Linked DNA regions of Rattus norvegicus. The protein of the gene in region 1 purifies or fractionates together with the protein of each later gene. This does not show direct contact. Links are inferred from orthologs where the notes say so. Each region holds a gene or a part of one and is shown on either strand. Other genes may lie near its edges.

The links.
Region 2: the proteins of Mrgbp (region 1) and Epc1 purify together in Homo sapiens (affinity purification with mass spectrometry; 6 studies listed by BioGRID and IntAct, counting the BioPlex papers as one, with this or other methods). This does not show direct contact. The link is inferred for Rattus norvegicus from reciprocal best matches to the Homo sapiens genes MRGBP and EPC1.

The regions. Positions count from the first base shown.
Region 1 is NC_086021.1:188,070,470-188,080,236, forward strand, and holds Mrgbp (MRG/MORF4L-binding protein), read left to right. Parts: upstream 1-4,285; 5' UTR 4,286-4,311; coding exon 4,312-4,459; intron 4,460-4,876; coding exon 4,877-4,998; intron 4,999-5,842; coding exon 5,843-5,924; coding exon of another isoform or gene 5,925-6,233; coding exon 6,234-6,308; coding exon of another isoform or gene 6,309-6,529; exon of another isoform or gene 6,530-6,692; coding exon 6,693-6,880; 3' UTR 6,881-7,693; downstream 7,694-9,767.
Region 2 is NC_086035.1:59,197,530-59,205,424, forward strand, and holds the end of Epc1 (enhancer of polycomb homolog 1), read right to left. Parts: intron 7,610-7,895; exon of another isoform or gene 7,498-7,609; intron 6,934-7,497; coding exon 6,815-6,933; intron 6,735-6,814; coding exon of another isoform or gene 6,666-6,734; intron 5,337-6,665; coding exon 5,195-5,336; intron 5,094-5,194; coding exon 4,730-5,093; intron 2,321-4,729; coding exon 2,248-2,320; 3' UTR 984-2,247; downstream 1-983. UniProt on the Homo sapiens protein: Component of the NuA4 histone acetyltransferase (HAT) complex, a multiprotein complex involved in transcriptional activation of select genes principally by acetylation of nucleosomal histones H4 and H2A.

The DNA.
Region 1 (9,767 bases):
ACATGAATAAACACTCTAAGATCAAGAAACAGACGACGAGAGGCCAAGAGACAGAGACCCTGAGAAGCCAAGAGGAAGGGCCTGAGTCCAGGAGCAGCTGCCCACACACTGTCTGAGAGTCAAATGCCAAGCTACCAGCTCCATCCCAGCCAGAACATCTTCCTATGCAGGCTCCTTCCAGGGAAGACTGCTAACCTCAATCCCACTCCCATTGCCTTGGCCATTCTAAACCTCTCTATCCACAGGAAAGCAGAACTTCCTGGGGACAGAGAAAAGGGGAGTCATCCAGTCAGAAAGTGTAGAGGACAATTCCGGGCTCACCACTTCCAGAGCAAGGAACAGCTGATGTTCTGGGTCCCATTGTGAAACCTGCCTCCCTCACCCAGAATAGCAGATACCCAACATTCCCGTGCCTCGGTTCCCCCATCCTCCAGAGGCAAGTAGGGGCATCACTTTTAAGGTTTCTTGAAAAGTTTGGTGACACAATACTCATTGACAGATGCCACCACTGGCTTGTGAGCAAAGAGACTCTCCCTCATCCCTCAGCTGGGCGGAGTTTCTCAGATCTCCGAGTCACTGCTCACCAGCTGGACAAAGGTCCTGCCAGTCAGGTGTGGCTCGTGAATCTCGTCTTTCCCAAAACTAAAAAAGCGAAGATGGTGAGCTTCAGCTGAGCCCCAGCTCCACCCCACATGACCTTTAAGAACAATACTGCCCTGGGGTAGTATGTCTCAGGGTGATCCTGGAATCTGATCCTCTAAAATAAACACACCGAGCCAGAGCCCAGAAACACGTGCCTTCTGGGTATCACAGCAATCCTTCCTAGGCCCCTTCTGAAGAGCTGGCTCCTGTGAAAACCCCGAAGTGGCTCAGGAGTGCGTCTTCCCTCGGGTCTTGCTGGTGTGGATTTCACAGCTGAGTGCAGGTTTGCATCCGAAGAGTTGGTGAGCACTGCCCCCTACAGGCAAGACTTAGCAGCCTGGCTGCAGCAGGTCCTCACCCGGAGGCCTTTGTAGGTCCAGCGAAGCCCATAACTTTAGAAGACAACAAGCAGCCTTAAGGAAAATGGAGATAATCACCTAGGTCCTTAATCACACCAACTTACCATAAACAGGAAGGCAGAGGGGGTGGAGCTAAGCTATGTTAGTCAGGGCATGGGTGTCCAACCTAGCCGCAATCCTTGTAGGGAAATACTGTACCTGAATTGGAAACCCAAGGGTCCTGCCTGACAGCTGCTTAGTTCTAGGCTCCCAGTTTCTAATGCTCCACAGCCCACAGGAGAAGACAGCAGAGCTGTTCTCGGTGTTCGGATGTTGTCCGGAGGATGGCCTGTTCCCATCGGGTGAACACAGTTGAACAGGATCCACAGCAGGCTGACTGACTCCAAAGCAGAACTTGTTGTCCAGAGCCCTCGGTCTCCCACACGTGCTAAGGGAGCAACGTGGGGCCAGTCACACTGTGGGAAATTTCACCACTTCAGAGATGCAGTCTGCAAAGAGACAATGTGACCAAAGGTCTCAGGATGGCACCTAACCAGAGCCTTTACAAATACGCCTCCCATTGGATCCAGTTCTTGTGACCAAGAGCTAAATGTTCCTTCCGGAGTGGGAATGGGCTCCTTCTAGTTAGTAGTGACCATCTCCTTCCCGAGACATCAGGTCCTCAGACAAGCAATACTGTTTAGGAGGCCGGAGACGCACCTCAGTTGGTAGGGCTCTTCCCTAGCATGTATGAAGTCCTGGGTTCAGTCCCCAGCATATGTACTAGCAGATACCTGTTATCCAAGCACTTAGGAGGTGGAGGACTGGGGATGGGAGTTCAAGGTAATCTTTGGCTACAGAGTGAGTTTGAGGCCAACCTGGGATACATAAGACCCTGAATAAGCAACTGAGTAAATAAAAAGAAATATCAGTTGGTTGAGAATGTCTGGGGAATAGTTCATACTGGCCAAAGTAAACGATAAGGCTTGTGTATCCGTTAAATGAGGGACAGCCTTTCTAGAGCCTTTACTTTTCACTGGGGCCCAGTCTGAACTCTTCACCCTGGGATCAAGAATCCTAGCACTCGTATCCATCTTGTATAAAAGACTCATGCAGCAGAAGTCCCAGCAAATGAGGAAAGAGTTGACCAGTTGGCTACTGGATATCACTGTCCACTTTGTATCTGGGAAGTAGGAAACCTTGCTGCGAAGCCAATCCTATCCTGGCCGCCTGGAACCAACCTGAAGACCTCACAGAGAAGACAGATCTGAGTAAACGTCACCAGCGACTTCTACAACAAGTTGGTGGTGTGCCTCACAGACACCTGCCCCAGGCCAAAGAAACCCTTCTGTCAGGTTTGAAGGAATCTCTCAGCTCCCAGCAGGTGTGAATTCAGTTTGAAGCTGCAGGAGCACACACATGATCATGGGCCAGTGGTTTCTCTACAGCTCCTTGTTAGAGAGCGACAGTCGCAGGAGAGCTACAAAATGAACAAGCACAGCTTCCTCTTAATTCGTGGGTTTGGACTGTAGAGCCTACATGCTCGTGAAAATGAACAGTGTCATGCTACAGTTGGCATGAGATAGTGAGCAGAGTCTTAGCTCCTGACCTCCGTGCTCAGACACTTCCTATTACCTGGCAGAGAAACGGGCTGTGGCTTCGTGGAAAGAATGAAGCCATTCTTCTCTCCTATACCATCTAACCTGTCCATAGGGATCAAGTCTGATTGCCAGCCACACGTTCCCAAGAGATCTCTGAAATGACGGACAGATGTTTGCAAACTGCCGTGTACAGAGGTCACACAGAACAGAGAGAACTGGCTAGAATGGATGAGGCTGAGGGTTACACAAGGGAAACCCTCCACAGTCCCCTGTTGTGAGCATTATCTGGTTGCAGGCCTGAGTGAGGGGCAAGTGGAGGGCCAGGACTGGATTCAAAGCTTGCGGTAGCCAGCAGATGGCTCTTATCAATACCCCAGAGTTCAGAGCTACAGTGGCCCCATAGCACAGAGAAGAACGTGGTCTTACAAAGGTTCTTGACATCTTAGTCACACAGCTGAGAGACATCAGTCAGGAAAGGGATTCTGATGCCTGCCCGTGGCTGAGGGTCAGGTGAGTAAAAAAGCTTGGATGGGTGGCAGGGTAGGGGTCATGGTACAGCTGACTGGGGTGACTCAGACCAGTAGGGACCATGTTCTTAAGGCTGCTGTGCCTAGCACTTGACCCTACCCAATCCCATGTAGAGATACTAACACCTGCCTGAAATTCTGACAGCCTCCACTGTAGGGACAAGATGGGGGTGGTAAGGCCAACAGGGCCCAGGTTTCTGTCTTTTGATGCCAATGAAGCACTTAATTCTGAAACTGTCATTTGCACCCAGGCCAGGGCTACTAAATGTGGTTGTTGGGTTTTAAAGTCTTTAATTATGGTGTGTGTGTGTGTGTGTGTGTGTGTGTGTGTGCGCGTGCGTGCGCGCGCGCGCGCGCATGCGTGCAAAAGTGTGAGTATACCATGGTATACATATAAAGGTTAGATACAACTTAAAAAAAAACTTATTTATATGAATACACTGTAGCTATCTTCAGACACACCAGAAGAGGGCATCAGATTCCATTATAGATGGTCTAGATGGTCGTGAGCCACCATGTGGTTGCGGGGAATTGAACTCAGGACCTCTGAAAGAGCAGTTATCATTCTGCCAAGCCATCTCTCCAGCCCTAGAGTAGAACTCTTAAGAATTGCTTCTCTCCTGCCCCCTCTAGGATCCAGGGGTGGAGCTCCAGTTACCAAGTCTGTGCACAAGAATCTCTATGGACGGACCATCTCACTAGCCCCTGGGTTTTTTGTTTGTTTGTTTGTTGTTTTTTAGCTATTTTTTCTTAAACAGTTTTCGTGATGTGTAATTTACATACTGCACAATTTATCACTGGCAAAGGGAGACACACTTCTAGCTGTGCAGCCTGAGTCTTTTCCAAGTTATCTACTCAGGTGAAGCCCAGATTTTTTTTGGGCCGTGTGTGTCATGCTATGCCGAATTGGCTGACTCAGAACTCAGAGAGATCCGCTCGCCTCTCCCTCTCTGAAGGCCCAGCTGGTGCATTTTTAAAGCATGAGGTTTGTTCCTGCTCCTCTCGGGACAGAGTCGTAGGCAGTAAAAGGGCCAACCACCAGGAGTCGCTGCTGCACCGGAAGCCAGCCTTCGTTGCGCCTGCGCGGACCCGGGCACGCGGCGTTCCCGAGCCCTGCGAGTGCGCGCCCTCCACACCAAGTGCGCCTGCGCGGAGCCTGTAGTAGCCTTTCTCGCGCCGGGCGCTCGTCGCTCGCCGGCGGCCATGGGGGAGGCCGAGGTAGGCGGCACGGGCGCCCCAGGCGATAAGGGCCCAGGCGAGGCAGCCCCGAGCCCTGCTGAGGAGACGGTGGTGTGGAGCCCTGAAGTGGAAGTGTGCCTCTTCCACGCCATGCTGGGCCACAAGCCTGTCGGTGAGCGCCGCGCCGCGCACCGGCGTGGGGGTGGGGCGGGATAAACCGTCGGGCGGGCTGGCGGAGCCTGCGACCCCGCACGGGCGGGACCTCCCACTCTGGGGTGCCCTGTTAGTCCAAGAGACCATGACTTTCCTTCCCGAGAAGCCCTCTCCCAGGGGACACTCCTGACTTCCCTGCCCTTGAGACAGTCCTACCCCAGGGAACGCCTCCATTCTCCCCGCCTCTGCAGCCCCTCTGCCCAGGACCCGCCTACTATACACCCTAACCACCTGCCTTGTGGCACCCTTCGTCCCCTTTGACACTTGACTCCTGCAACACTTGCACCTGTGGTTTGCACACTCCTGCCCCTCCTACACCCATGTCCTCTGCACAGAGGTGCTATCCTAACCCTCAACCCACTGTCCTGCCTCTCAGGGGTGAATCGACACTTCCACATGATTTGTATCCGAGACAAGTTCAGCCAGAATATTGGGCGCCAGGTTCCATCCAAGGTGATCTGGGACCATTTGAGCACTATGTACGACATGCAGGCACTGGTGAGTGGACCCTGGCCCACTCATTTGGGGGCTGAAGGTGGAGTCAAGTCCCGGATGCTGCCTTCCCAGAGTCCTCTGTGGTACAGGACAGAGCCCTCTTCTCACTTGGGGTTTGGTATGCAAAGATCTCAAAAGATGAGGCTCCTTCCTCAATCCTGCCTTGAAAAGCACAAACTAGGGATTCACTAACCACTTTCTCAGGACACCTACTTTAGATTGGTGGCACAAAGTGTCAAGGAGATAGTTGGGCGCTGAGATGATAGAGAAGCCTCAGCCACCGTAAAAGGCAGTAATAGGGTGCAGTGTCGGTATTGGGGTCCTTTGAGAATCTGTATACTGTGGGAGCTAGACTGTTCCTCTTCTGAGAGCAGAGAGGGTAGCTAGGTAACTGGTTTGGAGAGCTGGCAGTGTCTGACTCGTGTGTAGGTAACTAGTAACCTTGCTAGTCAGGTTTGTCTGCAGTGTCTGGCAGGCAGTGAGACTACGTAACCAGGATGGGTGGGGCTGTAGGGGCCTGTGGTTGGTCATGGCGCCCCTGGATACATTGTCCTGGTGGGAGTGTTACAATGGTGAACAGGTCAGGTCCTTGTGAGCACATCAGGGGAGCTGCTATGACTCCAGGGCTCTCTCGGTGGCATGAACCTGGTCCTCTCCTCTGGTTTGGTTTGGCTGGTGCTAGCCTGGCCCTCCCTAGTCATCTGAGAAGCCCAGCTGAGGTGGACTCTGCAAGCTGGAGCAAGGAGCCCCACCAGCTCGCAGCCTCCAGCCTGCTCCTCCGTACAGCTTAGTGAGCGGAGACCCTGTTTTCTGTTTCTTGAAAATACAAAACGCTTTGTGCCGGCAGCACGAGTCTGAGATTCTGCCATTCCCAAATCCAGAGAGGAACTTTGTCCTTCCCGATGAGATCATTCAGGAAGTCCGAGAAGGTGAGACTCAGCCACCACCAGGGCTGGGAATAAAAAAAGCCTCACCAGGCCAAAGGTGGGGAGGTCTGGGGCCTCCAGGGAGGTGTAAGGACCCTGCTCAGACCACGCCTCCAGTGGCGCCTGGGAGGTTTGGGGAGCCGAGGGCTGGGGCGAGCGGTGCTCAAAGGCAGTCTCCTGATGGATGCCGTCTTACGATGGACGCCGAGGCCTGTGTGGGCAGCGAGAGTCGGAAGCAGTCCTGGCCAGACCGTCCCCCAGCGCTGGCCACCACCGTGGGTTTCCAGTGAACGGCAGCTGTCTCCTCCACAGGAAAAGTGGTCATTGAAGAAGAAATGAAGGAGGAGATGAAGGAGGATGTGGACCCCCACAGTGGGGCTGATGACGGTGAGTGGAAGTGCCTTCTGGAGCCGTCACCACCACGGGCCAGCCTCAGGCAGAGTGAGGTCAGGAAGCTGAGAGTCAGGAGCGAAGCATCCCTTTCAGATGAACTCAGTGTGGGAGGGCCTCTGAGAGCCATGAGGAAGGGGCCGAGGCCAAGGCTGGGGGCCTCTGAGAGCCATGAGGAAGGGGCCGAGGCCAAGGCTGGGGGCATTGGGTGGGCTTAGACAGGAGACCCCCTGAGAGACTCGGTTTCTCTTCGAGCCCAGCTGTACAGGGCACTTACCCGGGGAACATACTGGGTCCGAACGCCTGGTTTCTCTAGCTGAAGAGGAAAATGAGATGAGTTTCTGGATATTCTGTTTTCAGCCAAATGATTTTGTTTCCCAGTTTTTTCATCTTCAGGGAGCTTGGGGAAAGCATTAGAAAAATCCAGCAAAGACAAAGAGAAGAACTCCTCAGACTTGGGGTGCAAAGAAGGGGCAGACAAGCGGAAGCGCAGCCGGGTCACTGACAAGGTCCTGACTGCCAACAGCAATCCCTCCAGCCCCAGTGCTGCCAAGAGGCGCCGCACATAGACACCTCAGCCCCAGGTGGCCAAGAGATGCTCCAGCTGCCTGTCCTCAGGTCCCTGGGTGAATGTGGCCATCCAGCAGAGATGCTAGTGGGGCTTCCGCTGTGTCATCAGACCTCCAGAGCACTTGATTGGTCCAAAAGGCCAGCAAGACCGGTGTCCACTCTGCTGGATGGTGAAGCCTCTGAGCCAGCCTCTTGCTTTCTCCTGGTCAGTTCCCTTATGCCCACAGTGTGTGGAGAAGAGCAGGTGCGTGGGCCAGAGGACCAAGAGTCAGCAAGCAATAAGACGTCACCCTCACTGTCCTCAGGAGCCAGGCATCCTCCCTGGGTGCCCAGTCTTTGCATCTGCTTTTCCTGTAAGACTCCATTGTGCACTGGCATCCAGAGAAGGTGTCTTTGGAGTTCACACAGCACACACTGTGCACAGAAGGCCTCCCCCATCTGGGAAATAGAACTGGATATTTTGCCTCATTCACTTGTACTGTAATAGTGTATATAATTTAGTTGGTATTTCACTATTTAATTTTTAAGAAGCCTATTTTACTAGTGTTTTGTATGAAGAAAAATACTGCAGAAGTTAAACCTGTGATGTGTTTTTTTGAGCTGTTTTGTTTTAAGGTAACTACTGAGATACGTCTGGCTGTTTTTATATGCCAGATACAGAGAATTTTTAGCGGTTATTTTTGTAATTTTAGTAACTTGGAAAAGACCAAATAAGGGGGTGGAACAAAGGAACAGCCATCAGGCTGAAAAGCCAGTGGCCTGATGGCTGAAGCACATTTTCATTTGCAGGATATTAAAGCATTAAAAAACTATCTTGGGAGTTGTGTGATTTGCTACTAAAACAAGTTGGTTTTTAAATTCTTCCTACAGAGGAAAGGGTCCCCCACTCTAGAACTCATAACCATAGGGTACACTTAAGATGACTTCTTGGCATCGCTGGATGCAGTAAGGTTATGAGCCTTCATCAGAGACTCTTAGGACACCCACCCCCAACTCCTGCCTACCTGGCCGCTACCTATTATCCTCCATAGCCAAGTCCAGCTGTTGGGTGGATGAGCACAGTGAAATGTCAGACCATCTTGACTACTGCCTGTGACTGAAACCGCCCCCCTGCCATCTGCAGGGTCCCAGGCAATGAGAACTGGCCTGCTGTGGCACTCCAAGCTGGCCTACATCAGCCACTTCTAGTCAGGGCAGTTGGGTCACCATAAACGTACCACTAGACCCAGCTCCCTGGCGTAGGGAGCATCCTGAGTTGACACAGGTGAGCTAGCTAGATGAAGTGGCAGCCCTGTACACTGCATTCAGACCTGGACCAGTGCTTGTGTGTTCAGTGCAAGAGACAGGGAAAGAGGTGTTACAGCATGTTTGGGGAAATGGCTTGGGGCCACTCCATCCTGTCCCTCCCCAGTGTCCACTACTAGAGGCCTGTTCTGTGGAAGAAGCCTAGCTGTTGAATCCACCACTAGCAGGAGAAACAGAGGGCAGATGGTGACGATCAGGACAGAGGTCCTCTCTGGTCAGGCTCACTCTTCTAAACCCATCTGAAAGAACAATCTAGGGCCATGAGAGCATGCCAGTAGGCCTGGTCAAGGCATTTGCCTTGAGGATTATTTTCTGTTTGTTCCCCAACAGCCCAGTGTCTGGATCTGAAGTCAAACCTGCTGCCTTCCTGAGCTATTCTGACCTTGTGATTCACAGGCATGGCCCTTTGTCCCTACGAAATGTCACTGACAACTGGGTCCAAGCAGCATGGCACACTGCCTCTTGCAAATATTACTGTCAGCCCATGGCATGTCCATCTTTCAGCTTTCTAGGACAGTTGTGGGAGAGGGGGCATTCACCCAAGGGACCCACTAACATCCCATGTACAATTTCCCTATCTAATGGCATTTAAACCAGGTGCCAGCCTGAGCATAGTCGGTGTCAGAAGCACTGGGGCAAAGATCAAAGACAGCCCAAGTTTACATTTTTACTTAATGAACATATGTATTTGTGTGGGTGCATGTGGAAATCAGAGAACTTCTTGCCTTCTACTATCTGGGTCCCAGGGATTGAGGGACATCTAAGTCTCTACAGTAGCCCATCAGTCTGATTTTGGTGGTTTTTGAGTTTCCAACTCAAGGGTTTCCAACTCTAGGGAACTTCAACAGGTCATACCGTAGTCTCTTACATACTGGACTGTCGCTAGAGACAATATATTTTTACTATGAGATTCCCAGAATATTACAGGTTCCTATCTGGTCAAGAAGTAAGGCCACACTTGAAGATCAAATACACACATACACATAACCTTGATTAACATTATTTGGAATACGGCTATATAAAAAGATTATTTTCTCTATGTAGGCAGCCTTCAAGCACATTTTGTCAACTGTCCCAGAATTCAGAACTCTCAACTGGTGAGAAACTTCAACCATGGTGGAATGCCGGTCCTTACCCCACTCCACCCCAACCCTGCTACCCACCCATGTCTCCTTTCCATTGCTATCTTGCTTCAAATAGTATGTTACATAACAAGCCCAGGCACATGGCCACAGTCATCAGTAAAGTCCACCTAAATTCAAAGGCTACTTAGCCACATGAGCCCAGGAAATTTGCAGTGCACAGGAGTGGGACAGAAATCACAAAAGCAGAGGGAATATGGAAATGGTTCAATTGCTAAAAAAAAAAAAAAAAAAAAAAAAAAATCCTTGCTAGTGGGAGAGCCTGTGTTAGATCACCACCTAGAAGCTGGGCTTGGTGGTGTGTACCTGTAATTCCAGCGCTGAGACAGTAGTAGCCCAGGGATTTCCTGGATAGCCAGCCTCATGTAACCTATGAACTCCAGGTAAGTGAAAACTCTCAGAATGTAAGTGTGGACAACCTACTGAGTGAGGAAATTCT
Region 2 (7,895 bases), on another chromosome or scaffold:
TTTTGAATGAAGTTTTGTCTGTACACCATGTGGAGGTCAGAGAGCACCATCATGGTGTCCCTTAGAAGGGGCCCACCTTGGCTTTTCAGTCTCTCATTGCTTGCAGTGTTCAGAGCAGGCTAGACTGGCTGACCAGTGAGCCCAGGGTCCACACTACCATCTACCTTTCCGTCAGTCCTGCGATGACAAGCATGTCGCCACTTGGCTTTTACTGAGTTCTGGGAATTGAACTCTGGTCCTCACTGCTCCTTTGGAGCTTTCTTAACCCTTTCTTCTCATGTGCCTTACTAAACAGATGCATTAACTTCTTTCTTTTTTAGAAACAGGGTTTCTGTACATATCCTGGGCTGTCCTAGAACTCACTGTAGACCAGGCTGGCCTTCAACTCAGAGATCCACCTGCCTCTGCTGGGATTACTGCCACCAGGCCTGGCCTGTAAGCAACTTCTAATGGCTTCTAAACAGAGACAGAGCCAAATACTTCACACTACCCTGGGGTCACTGGGGTCATCTACTACTGGGAGTTGCCCCTGAAGACTAGTCTGGATACTGAGGCAGAGTGGGACTCTTCTGCTCCAAGTTCCGTTCTGTACAGAAAGTCAGAGTCCTCTGTGCCATACTCTGCTGTCGTCCCTATATTCTACTCCCTGGTCCCTGCGTCAATGCTCCTCTCTGCCTGACTGCTTCTGCTGCTCAAGTCTCTGACCCAGTCTGACTGGGAACATCCTTGGCTCTCTACACTCGTTCACCGAGCCTGACTTTCCCTTCCCATTAGTCACACTACATTTTACATCTCATTTACTCTCACCTCCATGAGATTATTAATCAAGCGAGGGATTTCTTTCACTGCTGAAGACAGACACATCAAAATAATCACTGAAAACATGAAGTTCTCCCTTCCCATTTCTAACCAAGCCCCTTACTCAAACAACAAAGTCACACAAAGTTCTGGGGTTGAAAACAAAAGGCAGAGACCACTGCACGTTAGTTTGTCAACATGTAATGCCCTGGGTTTATTTTGTGAGAATTCTATCACAATGTTTCCAGGTGGGATTAAAAACCTTAAGGATAACATATGTCTGCCATTGGACTGGGCATTCAGACTTCGGTACTAACAAAGCAGTAGTAGTCTGGTAAGTACCATTCTCTTCACAGAAGAGAGGTCAAATATTTCCAAAGGAAGGCACCCGATATTTGTGGTTCTGGCCTCGCAGCCTTCTGGAGAATCTTAAAAGGAAAAAGCTGGCTGGCTGTTTTACAAACTGGAATGACGATACACGGACAGCATTCTTCTCCCCTATATCCTTTCTGTAAGAACAAGTAAAGAATGAAGTCTTTAAACAATTCCACAATATAAAAGTACATCTTTTTGTGCTAAAAAAAGGGCAAGACAACATAAACTCCAGTTGTAAGGACTCCGTTTGTGTACTTGATTTAACACTTTTTGGTGTGGAAGGAAATGGGACGACTGGGCTGTTTGTAGGGCAGCAACATAACATTAGTGCTTTAAGTACCAGGGCTGCCCAAGCTTGCAGGCAGGCGGGGATGGGAGAATTCAAGAGACTTCATTTTTAGCTTGTTGCGCATCCTAATGCTAGTAGACCAGGAAGATCCCCATTGAACAGTACATTCCCCGTTTTAAAAAACTGATGCCTTTTTTTTTTTTGTAAAATTCTGTATGTATGTCACCATTTTTTTTTTCACATGATACACAGAAAACTCAAGGACCCAGAGGGAACCAAGTTATGTTATACCATTTACAAAATACCAAGGAGTCCACAGCTACCTAACACATTTACTACAGCACAGGAACCAATGAGGGTACAGTGTACAAAACCTGTAAACACGGCACAATAAATAGAGACAGCAGGTTCCGCACCATGCACATGATGTGATGACACCAGCTACACAATCTCACAGCTCACACTCTTGTTGCAGTTACCCCCCACCCCCCGCCCCCAAGTGCAAAGCATCACAAATGAACAGTTCTGTATTCAAGTAACATATATACAAGGGTATTACAAATATGCAGTACTGTACAGATAATTGCTGTATTCTTAATTTACAGATGTTGATTTTTTCCTATTAACAATAAGAAAAGAAAGGTTGAAGCACGAGAGGTGCGCAGTGCTGCCGAGTCCCCACAGCTGCCACGGAACCGCCTACGCACTCCATCCTCCCTGCGTTCCAACGCTCTGATGCATAGCACCTGACCATGTCCCCAGGATGCAGTCCTGCTCCCAGGAAGCTACGTCACCTCCATTGCTACTGTGTTGTCTGCTATGTTGTTCAGTGCTGGCTTTTCTGATTCATGATTTTCCCTGTTGGGATAAAAGTTCCGTTAGTCAATGGTCATGTACGAGCTGAGCCAGTGAAGGCCGTCCTTCCTTTAAAAGCCTTAGTTATCTTTAACAGCAGGAAGAAAGGTCACTTATGGGGCAAGGGGACGAAGGATTAGGAATTTTCGTAATTATGAAAAACAGGCAAGTAGAAATCAAGTATATCAGGGGTCAACAGTCAACTCCATGCCAACTGCCAAAACACTGTCCAAGAACTCAAGTGACCCAAAGATACAGACACACTCAACACCGAAACGTCTCAAGCTCTGACAGTTACAGCAGCTCCCTTCCACAGCCGACTTCCCTTCTTACGCTTATCTACTTACTTAGTACATATGTGCATACACACGTGTGCTCACTCGAGTATCTCAGCTCAACTTTTGGGAGTCAGTTCTTTTCTTCCACCACATAGGTTCTGGGATCAAGCGTAGCTTGATGGGTTTGGTGGCAAGGGCCTTTACCCATGGAGCCATCATGTTAGCCCCAAACCTTTATCATCGTTTTGGGATGTGTGTGAGTGTGTACACACATGTGCGTGCACATGGAGGCCACAAGTGGATGGCGAGTGTCACTTCTATCCGTCTTCACCTTAATTTCTGAGAGAAGCTGAAGTTCATGGAGTTGATCCCTTCCTTTCCTGTAACCCCCACAATGTAGGGTCATGCACTCAACACGTGAAGCTTCTTTAAAAATGTGGATTATGAACTCAGCTGCTCCTGCGTGTACTGGCAAGCACTGAGTAGTTCTCTTTGGCCCTGAACTCTTTTTCGGCCTTTACACAATTACGTTGTGTAGTCAGAGGCAAGCTGCAGGACTGCTTCTCTTCTTCCACCACACGATACAACGGACCAACGCGGGCTGTCAGGCTTGACGGCAAGCGCCTCTGCCCACGGAGGAGCTCCTCCTCCCAACCCAAAGCTTTTCTTAACAATCATCCAGCACAGACACAAATATCTCCACAATTCTTAACAATCCAGCACAGACACAAATATGTCCAAAATTCTTAACAATCATCCAGCACAGACACAAATATGTCCAAAATTCTTAACAATCATCCAGCACAGACACAAATATGTCCAAAATTCTTAACAATCATCCAGCACAGACACAAATATGTCCAAAATTCTTAACAACCCAGCACAGACACAAATATGTCCAAAATTCACGATGGGACTTTAAATCTAGGTCTCAATCAACATCACTAAGTGAGACAGACACAGGACTGGAACACTGGGTAAAGACAGGGATATGAGAAGTCCCATCTACTGTAAATGTCCCCATATTTGTCATGTTCTACAGCAATGAAAGTCATGATTGGTGATGTGGAAGAGGAGAACTAGTCCACTGATCAGCCATGATCAGACCAACAATGCGTTCCTGGTACTGAACAGATAAATGTAGACAGGGCCTGTGGGTGTGCAAAGTGAGCTCCTGCACAGCTGCTCTCCCGAACGCTCTCTGCTGAAGTCTCAGTGTTGGTCTAAGCATAGCACTGGCCTTCTAGGCAGCAATGTTAACCGCTAAGCACCATCTTCTCCAATTTTTATTTCTGCTTTGCCCACTCAAACTTATGATACACATTCTCTTCACCCAATCAAGTGGGGTCTGATATTTCATAGAACACACAATTCGGTTTTAAAACAAGAGCAACTGTCAATACAATGAACTGGGCAACACACGCTGATCTGAGACAAACCTAGAAGGGCTTCTGTCTATTACCTGCACTGTTTTAACACCCACATTCATGTTTTAAGCTTATTTCTTGCTAATCTGAATAATGCAGGTCTTTGTTTCTTTTCTCCTAGTACTTTGTAGCAATAGGATTTTAATTAGTTAATACAGAGTTAAATTAATAGTTATAGTTAAAATGGAACCTTGACAAAAACCTTAAACTCCTGAAATCAAGAAGGTCAGTGAGCAGAGAAAGCCACGGCTTATTAGATGTCAGCAGGCCTGCCAGCATTTCCACAATGAGTAGCGAGCAGACTGGCGAAGGAGGCTTTACCAAGTCTACCCCACAGTAAGCCACCGATGAGATCCATCAACAGCATGACAGCACCTAAAGAGGCCTCCCTCCACCAAAGCCACACAAGAGTGACGACACTCGAGGCTACTGCTCAATTAGGGGAGGTCCGGGCCCCAGAAGCAACACTGACTGTCCCAGTGAGTGGACTGGCCTGGTCTTAAGACTGAATTCAACCAACACTGAATTATTACATCCGCTTGCTTAGTTCTTGAGTAAGCGAAGGTTCATTCATGTATTCATATATATATATCCATATATATTCAATACACAAAAGGAAAAGAAGAGAAGACTTAGGTGGATAGCCACTTCAGGAGGCAAGTTAGGTGTTTACATTTCAGACATTTAATCTTCAAAGAACTACTCACCTTGGAACTGAATCTACAGAGGATGAGGAGGGGACCTTGGAAACTTGACAGTTTGCTGCAGCAGCCAGCTTTAAGGCAGATGGCGGAACAGCACTTAAAGTCCTAGGTATATGCCGTGCGTTTATTGGGGCGATAGAGTTGACAGTGGGGACAGATGAGGGGACAGTTAATCGGATGTTGTTCCCAAACAGAACCTGAGTTGTTGCAGAGTTGGCAGCAGTTACTTGGTGACTCAGTGCGCTGTGGGAACCCGAAGTCTGTGTAATATTTGAAGGCTGTAACAAGGTTGAACCTGCGGTCGAAGGACTCGTATGTACAAGCGCCGTTGGTGTAGTGCTGCTGAGGTGCAAGCCCTTGTATACTCCTAGGGAGAGGAAGAAAGCATGTAAACACTGCACTCTGCGGCTAAATCACAATGTGTACAAACATGTATGCATGTGAATATAACTGGGTCTTTCTCCTCACCTGAGGCGGGAAGGACGCCATTCACCCCAATCCCAAGCACCACATCATCCTTCATCTTGAATCCCATCAGCTGTTCTGACGTCATTAAAGCAGAAGCAGCGAACTGTGCACTGGCAGAATCCAACGTCTTAGAAACAAAACCCTGAAAGGAAAACACAAAAGTCATCAGTGTAATTGTCTTGAAGTATCAGTCAGTACCACAGGTGATCAAAGTCGGTCGGCCTCACTACACAGGTCACCAGAGTCAGTCAGCGTCACTACACAGGTCACCAGAGTCAGTCAGCGTCACTACACACAGGTCACCAGAGTCAGTCAGCGTCACTACACAGGTCACCAGAGTCAGTCAGCATCAGTACACAGGTCACCAGAGTCGGTCAGCATCACTGCACAGAGTCACTAGTCAGTCAGCCTCACTACACAGGTCACCAGAGTCAGTCAGCGTCACTACACACAGGTCACCAGAGTCAGTCAGCGTCACTACACAGGTCACCAGAGTCAGTCAATGTCACTACACAGGTCACCAGAGTCAGTCAGCGTCACTACACAGGTCACCAGAGTCAGTCAGCATCACTACACAGGTCACCAGAGTCAGTCAGCGTCACTACACAGGTCACCAGAGTCAGTCAATGTCACTACACAGGTCACCAGAGTCAGTCAGCGTCACTACACAGGTCACCAGAGTCGGTCAGCGTCACTATACAGGTCACCAGAGTCGGTCAGCATCACTACACAGGTCACCAGAGTCAGTCAGTGTTACTACACAGGTCACCAGAGTCAGTCAGTGTCACTACACAGGTCACCAGAATCAGCTTCACAGCTCTAAAAGCAGCAAACCAATGAAATCTACTTCATTTTCATAGCTATAGTTAATTGTCTAACTTAAAGGTTTACACATTTTGATCTTCCTATGATAATACAGAATATATACAAAGCAATTACAAAAATAAGCCTATTAGTGCAGAATACAACAGCAGCAGAAAGTTTCAATTTTCTCAGGTAGTTCAGTCCTGGACAAATCCATTAAGGCAAATACGTAACTTCTTTCATTTAATCTCCAAACACCATTCTTCCTACCCACCCTCAGTGCTAATATCCACCCACTGTCCACCCAGAAGCACCTTTCAATAGTAAGACAACCATCCCTTAATTAAAAAAAGATCTGACATCATAATTTAAAAATGAAAAGGCCTCTCGCATCTTCAAAAATGAAATTTCCTTTAAATGCTTGGAAGGACTCAATTCTCAGCCGTTCAGCCCCAAGTCTATCTATACAGCAAGTATCTTTCCATACTTAAGAGCAGAACAGATGGTTTTGGGTTAACTCTGGAACTGGAACATCAGCTGCATGGGGCTTTGCGATGAGGACAGTACATTACAGACCCGTCAGAATGAAGCTACTTTACAACTTAGAGAGCTACGTTCTTAAGTTACTCTGTATAACAGCAGCAGAGGGAACGGCTTCCATACTCACCTGGAGTGTTCTTTCTAAACCCTGTACATTCAGGCCAGAGCCACGTGTCTGCTGGTTAGATGCAAGGTTCTATGACAACCCTTGGTAATGAGAGATGAACTCTGGTGGGAAACAATGAGGGATAATCATAAGACACACAAGCCCCTCACCTGTGGAGCGGCGGTGGAGGAACTGCTATTTGCTTGCTGCTGCTGAGTTTGTGCAAGCTGCTGCTGCTGCATGAGTGCCAGTTGCTGCTGGTGCTGCTGGTACTGCTCGGCTGTAAATGCTGAACATAAAACAAGGAGGCGGTTCACAAAGATGCAGATGCCACAGACACCTTACAACACTACAAAAGTCCAGCATAAGAAAAAGGTGTTTTTGTGCAAAGTGGAGGCATTTGGATAGAAATGATGCTGCTAGAGATCATTCCAGACAGAAACCAGCATCTTCTGCCACATCTAACCAAAGTGGCTTCAACTTCAAGAAAAACCACTGCTTTTCTCAGCTGTGTGTGACACTGTGCTGGACAGCACAGAAAGTGCTCTTGGGCTCTCAGTCCACGAGCTTGGAGATGCCCTTTGCACTGCACATGAGGTGAAACCTGGTAACCAGCATTCCGCTTCTATTTTGTCCAGATCGCCATGCCAAGGCTCAGGCCGTCCCAACAGCTGTGTACAAACACTAAAGTCTACATAGCTTCTTATTCCAGTCATTATAAAACTTTCCTCTACATAAAAAGTAAATCCAATAGTTTAATACTTAAACAGGAGAACTCATCTTTCAAGTTTAACAGGAAGAAAAGAAGTCCCAGGGTTAAGGTTAATGAACTTTCCCCACCCAGTTAACCCACCTGGACAAAATCCAGTCAATAAGAACGGAGTAATGCTGATTACTGTACAGAGTGAAGCCTGAGGACAGACACTGTGTTATGCTACTTATGTGTGTCTATGGAGAGCTCAGTTCTAAAAAAGACAAACAAAAAAATGTTCATTTATTACCCCCAAAAGTGTGTGCAACTTTAAAAAGGAAACCTGTTTCTTTATTCTTTTCCTTTGTCAATTTGAAAAGAAAGTGGGGAAGGGGAAGAAAAAAGAAAGCAATATCACAGCCACCTGACAGTGAAGGCTTCTTAAAGAGTCCTTTCCTGTCTGAGTAAAAGTTACTTAAAAAGCAAGCAAGCAAACAAACAAAAAAACCAAAACCCCCAAACAAACAAAACCAAAAAACCACAACTCAAACAAACAAACC